Tribolium castaneum: one gene and its partner. The protein of the gene in region 1 purifies or fractionates together with the protein of each later gene. This does not show direct contact. Links are inferred from orthologs where the notes say so. Each region holds a gene or a part of one and is shown in the gene's direction. Other genes may lie near its edges.

The links.
Region 2: the proteins of cdc42 homolog (region 1) and Spec2 purify together in Homo sapiens (affinity purification with mass spectrometry; 4 studies listed by BioGRID and IntAct, counting the BioPlex papers as one, with this or other methods). This does not show direct contact. The link is inferred for Tribolium castaneum from reciprocal best matches to the Homo sapiens genes CDC42 and CDC42SE2.

Annotation. Positions count from the first base shown.
Region 1 is NC_087398.1:3,193,650-3,197,627, forward strand, and holds cdc42 homolog, read left to right. Parts: upstream 1-1,336; 5' UTR 1,337-1,628; intron 1,629-1,892; 5' UTR 1,893-1,904; coding exon 1,905-1,969; intron 1,970-2,017; coding exon 2,018-2,240; intron 2,241-2,857; coding exon 2,858-3,145; 3' UTR 3,146-3,472; downstream 3,473-3,978. Other genes in the region: mnd (Y+L amino acid transporter 2), read left to right, coding at 1-309, 365-689, 742-1,137; protein FAM76A, read right to left, coding at 3,791-3,978. UniProt on the Homo sapiens protein: Plasma membrane-associated small GTPase which cycles between an active GTP-bound and an inactive GDP-bound state. In active state binds to a variety of effector proteins to regulate cellular responses. Involved in epithelial cell polarization processes.
Region 2 is NC_087396.1:23,112,643-23,115,653, reverse strand, and holds Spec2 (CDC42 small effector protein homolog), read left to right. Parts: upstream 1-1,378; 5' UTR 1,379-1,539; intron 1,540-1,671; coding exon 1,672-1,754; intron 1,755-1,800; coding exon 1,801-1,936; intron 1,937-1,984; coding exon 1,985-2,005; 3' UTR 2,006-2,501; downstream 2,502-3,011. Other genes in the region: Cox4 (cytochrome c oxidase subunit IV), read left to right, coding at 380-577, 629-821, 868-1,004. UniProt on the Homo sapiens protein: Probably involved in the organization of the actin cytoskeleton by acting downstream of CDC42, inducing actin filament assembly. Alters CDC42-induced cell shape changes.

The DNA of each region.
Region 1 (3,978 bases):
GTACGAAGCCGTGCGATTACTGGCAGCCGCTGCCGTTTGTCTACTAACTCTGATTAATTGCTACAACGTCAAGTGGGTGACACGGGTCCAAGACATCTTCACCGCCACCAAAATCTTCGCCCTGTGCATTATCGTGGCAGCTGGAGCGTACTACTTATGCATTGGTCACGTCGAGCATTTCAGGGACCCCATGGAAGGGACCAACTGGCAGCCCGGGTACATTGCCTTGGCCTTTTATTCCGGCCTGTTCTCCTACTCGGGCTGGAATTACCTCAACTATGTTACCGAAGAACTGAAAGATCCCTACAAGTGGGTTTTATTATCCCTAACACAGCTATGTTTATTATCATTGTTTTTGTTCCAGGAACCTTCCTCGCGCAATTTGTATATCGATGCCAGTGGTCACCGTCATTTACGTTGTGACAAACCTTGCGTACTTTGTTGTCTTGAGCAGGGATGATATTCTGGCGTCAGATGCAGTTGCTGTTACTTTTGGTGATAAGTTACTGGGCGCGTTTTCGTTTTTCATTCCGTTTTTCGTGGCTTGTTCCACGTTTGGTTCGTTAAACGGTGCTATTTTTGCATCGTCACGCCTTTTCTTCGTGGGGGCTCGTGCTGGACACTTGCCACGAGCTATCGCACTCATTGATGTGAAAAGACTGACCCCTGTACCATCTCTAATTTTTATGGTAACCATAATTCCGTAATAAAACACTAATTTTACATTAATTGTATTTACAGTGCATCATTACGCTAGCCCTTGTAATGATTGAAGATGTGTACGTTCTTATTAACTACGTTTCGTTCGTTGAGGCCCTTTTTATCACGATAAGTGTGACGGGGCTGCTGTATATGAGGTGGAAGAGGCCCGATATGCACCGGCCGATTAAAATCAGTTTTATTCTTCCTGTAATATTTTTGTTAATTTGTGGCTTCCTTGTCATTTTTCCCTGTTATGTTAGTCCCCTGGAGGTAGGGGTAGGTTTAGGTTTCATTTTTTGCGGAATTCCTGTTTATTTAGTTACGATCGCTTGGAAGAATAAACCAGATTGGTTGAATAAAATTTTCAACGAGTTTAACAACGGCTGCGCCAAACTCTTCCTGTGTGTTACGGAATACGAAGACAAGGAGTCCTAAAGTTAGACATATGATATGTAAAAATGATCTAAATAGTATTAATTGTTTTCGAATGCTTTGACACAAGAAATATTTATTTGTATATTACTATTCATTAAACATGTTTTGTAAGATGTTTTTTTCCATAAATTAAATTCAAAAAAAGGACAGTTCCTCCAACCACACCGCGATAAAATCCCAATTGAACTAACCTAAATCGATGGTGGCGCTCTCAATGAGACAACTTTTATCAAAATTAAATAGAATCCTCTCGTAATCATCGACAATTTTTCCGTTTATTAAACTAGTTCAAAAATTCGGGTTCGGGAAGTCCTTTTCCGCCCCGTATTAATTTTTCCCAGTTTTTAACGTGACAGTTGACTTGTGCGCACTCTATGGTCATTCGTCAGTTGGTGTGATTTGTGGTGTTTTAGGATAAGCCCAACCCAAAAATTCTAGGAATATAAAAATAAAGGTTTATTGTACATTTATAGGACGTTCAAGCTGAATAGGTAATCCCCCTAATCTCGTTTTTACTAGCGTTAAAATAGCTTAGTGGTATCAACTGGTTGAAAAAATGACGCCAACAACTCAAAATGGCAGATCATTATGATTGATATCCTTATTCCTGGAACAATTCGGGCGTTTGTGTTAATTTGCTGCTTTTTGAACGCCGCTCGTGACTTAAAACCGTTCCTAGCCTCGTGGAGAGCGAAGGAACGCCATTGTCAATTCTCGGAAGTGTTCCGTGTCCTAATAATTAATTGTTGTTACAGCAAGGACGAAGAATGCAAACAATTAAATGTGTGGTGGTGGGTGACGGCGCAGTGGGTAAAACCTGCCTCCTGATAAGGTAACAGCTCCTGTTTGGTCTGTTTGAGGTGGTAATGGTTTGTTTCAGTTACACTACTAACAAATTCCCATCGGAATATGTGCCCACAGTCTTTGATAACTATGCGGTCACTGTCATGATAGGGGGCGAGCCCTACACATTGGGGCTGTTCGATACTGCAGGACAAGAAGATTACGATCGATTGCGACCTCTTAGTTATCCCCAGACTGACGTTTTCTTAGTGTGCTTTTCTGTAGTGAGTCCGTCCTCGTTTGAAAATGTTAAGGAAAAAGTAAGTCACTTGAGTATGAGCCTCTTGTAACTCAATCGAAGTCCCACGTGTTTCTGCCAGAGCCGGTTCTAAAGCACGTGCTTTTTAGAACTTAAATAAACCGGAAAAATATCCGTACTTTCAATCTAAAGTATGACAAACATATCACTGTATAAATCATAACTAAATAAATAAAAACAAGCGAACAGTAGTGAACAAATAGAATATAAAAAAACAAGTTTGTTAAGACAAGTTTTAAGGCAATTTTTGTAAAGCCCTGGGCTATTTTAAAAAATGTGTGCTACCATATAACTATAGGTCGTTATCCAACGAGCGTATGCGAGTGCATAGACACCCGAGAAAAAGGTAAAGTAAATTGTAAACAAAATTTGATGAAACAATCTCGTTTTGTTAACTGGAGAACCACTTCCTCTAACAACCACAAAGATAAGTTTAAATGGCTTTTTTCTCACACGTTTTTTCCACGATTCTCATTTTGCTATTTAAATTATCATCGTATCATTAGTTAAATATATGTTTTTGAAGTTATTTTTTTAATTAATAAACTGGGAAGTATTGGAGCACTGATGCTCGTTAGTTTTTCCAACGATGTTAAGAAATGCTCGCTTTGCTTTCAGTGGGTCCCCGAAATAACTCATCATTGTCAGAAGACGCCGTTCCTGTTAGTCGGAACGCAGGTCGATTTACGCGATGATGGTGCTACGATTGAAAAGTTGGCGAAAAACAAACAGAAGCCGATATCAGTGGAACAGGGAGAAAAGTTAGCTAAAGAATTAAAAGCGGTCAAATATGTCGAGTGTTCGGCTTTAACGCAAAAAGGTCTGAAAAATGTTTTCGATGAAGCTATTCTAGCCGCGTTGGAACCACCAGAACCAATTAAACGTAAAAAGTGTGTTATTTTGTAATCAGTAATTCAACCCGATTGGAATACTACAATTTTTATACTAGTTAAGGACAAAATTATATATTTATTTTATTTTTTTTTTGTTAACAGTTTAAATATTAAAAACAATTGTATGGTATATAACTTCTTCCATTTATTGAAGCTCAAACGACACTCGAGATCATTACTTCTTCTTATGTAAAGGCTTTTAGGAACAAGTCAGTATTACATCCAAATGGCTTCAAGGACTGCGAATTTACCACTTTCGTAACTTTTGTGTTTTTCTAACATTTTGTTATGTTCTTTCGGCAATAATTTGCATAACGTAAATAAATCATTTATTATATAAGACTGTTGTTTGGCTGAGAAACCTACCACCAGATTTTAATAAAACTAGTTTATTCAATTAATTAAGACTCACATGGTCGACATATACATAATAACAGACGTAAATTAAATATGTATGTGTGTGCACAAACGGATATATAGTGCGATTCCAAAGGGGCGTTTGAATTTACATTAGCCAATAAGGGCCGTTTACTGTCACCGACCCATAAAATATTAAAATTTCCGTAATAAATAACCGAAGAATAAAATTGACTATCAGCCGACCCCGAATCGTTAAACCGCACTATACATTTTTACGAACAGTTATTTAAAAAACCGTTTACTGAAGGCTGGGACTGTCGGTGCCACTGCCACTGTTGTTCGAATTTTCGGCCGCTGAAGCGCTAACAAACTTATTTTTCTTGGCGCTTTTCGACAAACTCGCCACCTCCTTCAAGAGACTGGTGATGCGCTTATTCAGCGCCTCAATCTTGTCGTCGCATTCCTTCTGGCAATTTTTCATCTTGG
Region 2 (3,011 bases), on another chromosome or scaffold:
ATTTTGTAATTTTCCCTTCAAGTAATAAAAAATCCATTGTTTTTTTTAGTGTTTTATTTTTGCGCGGTTGGCGTGTTGTTACTTTACATGCGCAGCGGAAGTGCTCAACTCGGCCATTTTGCGTAGAAGTTTGCAGGTGAGTTTTTTATTCAAAATAATTACACTTTTTGCTTAATTATTCAAAACAAGTCTCTCGATTGCTTCATTCAAACGTTGCGTTGTCGATAATTCCGTAAATAATGTCCCTTTCGATTTAAAATCGTTACATCAAGTTGTCTCTTGTCACTGGTGATTACCTAATCAATGTCAGTTTAAATCTTTGAACCCACGAAAAATCGCCAATTTGGGACGAAGCAGTGATTACGCGACTTTGCAGACGATGGCAGGGCGACTCTTGTGTATGAGGGCTTTGCCCGTGCAGAAGACACTCGGGAGGGCCTCCATGAGTGACATGCGATCCATTATTGGAAACAGGGAAATCGTTGGCTTTGGGTTCAACGGACAGCCGAATTACGCCGACCGCGTGGATTTCCCCTTGCCTGCCATCAGATGGAAGGAAAACACCCCCGATATTCAAGTAACAGGGTTAAACATTTTCTCATTCTTGTATTAACAAATTCGGTCCCAGGCCTTGCGCGAGAAGGAAAAGGGCGATTGGCGCAAGTTGACCATCGAGGAGAAAAAGGCCCTTTACAGGGCGTCCTTCTGCCAGACCTTTGCTGAGATGAAGGCACCAACAGGCGAATGGAAATCTATTGTCGGGATCTCGTTCGTGTTGGTGGCCATAGCGTTGTGGGGCTTCTACGGAATGAAAACCTTCGGTAAGGAGCAGGATTTGATTAGGTTGGTGCTAAGTAAGGTTTGCAGTGTACGCTCCTCTGCCTGAGAGTTTCAATGAAGAAAACAGGAGAGCTCAGCTCAGGCGTATCATCGATTTGCAGATTAACCCAGTCCAGGGACTTTCGTCCAAATGGGATTACGAAAAGGATGATTGGAAGAAATAAGTTAACTTAAATTTAAAATAATTTGAATGGGTTTTTTGTGACAGCCTAAGAATTCATTCATTTGTATTATAGTAAATTTAGCCCCGAAATTATTACATGGTGTAATAAAACTGTTCTTTTTATTATTTTTGTTTTTTTGTTAAAATTCATTACTTAGAAAATTCTACGGTTCACTTTACGTATTGTACGTAATTTTTGCCAATTAAAAAATTCATAACTTAAAAACTATTGAGAATTTGATGATTTTCTTGATGCCAATCGATTCCCCGGATCATTTTACATGACCAAGATTAAAATGGTGCCACATTTTTGAATAGTTTAGACGTAATTGAGAAAATAAAATTTTTTTGAAAATGGTCAACTGAGTGGTGTTGGCAGCAGTGTCGCTGCAGTGTTGGCAACGCCTTGTTTTGACGTGCCCGACCTTGATGGCGACTAGATAGAGGTTGTGTTCTCAGTGCTGTGTTCTTTGTAATTTTAGTCCATAGTTCCTTCTATATTTAGCTTAATAACATTTCATACTCTTGAGACGGGGGTGAGTAACGAATTGGCGACGTTGCCAAGCCGCTGGCCCACATAAAGACCGCAAACTTATCCTGTTTACATTGTCTCCGAGATCCTTATCTCAGTTTGGAAAAACACAATTTAAGCTACACAACGCTTTTAGATGGCTGCTGTGGGCGATTTGTGGGTGTCCTGGTTCAGTTGTTGCGTGCAGCAGCCCCAAAAACGGCGCATTCGAATCGACAGGTAACCCGCAACTGTGGCCAATTTTCCGTGAAAATGACTTTTCCAGATCAATGATTGGCTCCCCGACCAATTTCCAGCACACAGGCCACATCGGGAGCCGCGACGTGGAAATGCCCGGGGACCAGCTCGTGGCCCTCCAGAACCAAATGAAGAGCAAAGGCGGCTATGAGACAACGTACAAGGTGATTCAACATTTTTGCCAATGTGCGCTAATGAATGATTTTTTGCAGGACGTAAACTGGTGCCAATGATTTTGTTATTATTTATTGTGTGCAAGTGCGACTGTTTTATTTAAAGTATTAGGTCAAATGTGTGTAAATACGTGTATGTAAATAGGACTTCAGGTGGCAATATTTGTATGTATCGGAAACCGCATTTATTTGTATCATTGCCTTAGATAACGCACTCTAGGAATTTTCCATTTTATCATGTTGGTTGTTATCATTTTACAAATGGTGCTCTTGTTATCAGTTTTTTATTGATTTTTCGTAGCTAGTTGAGCCGTGCCAAAAATCTGACTAAGTTAGGTATTTTTTTAATTGAAACCAAAATTGATTGTGATTTTTTATTATACTACTGCGAGCAATAATTGCCTTTTAACCTCTTGCTGGAAATGACGTTTCCAACTCGCCTTAACGAATTGAAATATTTTTGCACAAACCTGTTAAAGCACAAGTATTATTCTTGATACTGTTATTGTACTTACTAGTGTAAATTTGTATCCGTGAATAAATTATTATTAGTTGAGTTTGCGTTTTTTTTAATATCCATATTAAACCACCCTCTCAACAATGGAATAAATGAATTATTGTAAAGCTCTTTTAATTAACTATCATTTTAAAAAGGATCATTGTTCTCCGAATCATAGTTTACGAGAAAATTTTAAATGAAAGAAAAAATAGGTGAAATATAAAAAAATTCATAACTAAAAAACTATCTGGAATTTGGTTATTTTCTCGATGCCACTCAATTCCCCTGATCATTTTACATAGGTTTACATCAAAATAATTCCACTTTTTCCAATAGTTTTGCAGTTTTTGTGTAAATTTTGGATCCGTGAATAAATTACACGAAATGTCGATAATAAAGGGAGCACACCTACCGGCTCCCAACTGTGGGAATAAATAACACAATTCGATTTTTACATTATTGTACTGTAAATTAAGCCCAAAAAACGGTATTTTTTTTCGAAAATTGTATAATTTAGTGCCGTTTTTGGGCTCAGCAGGGCGAAAAATGGGCCCGGTCTAGTGAATT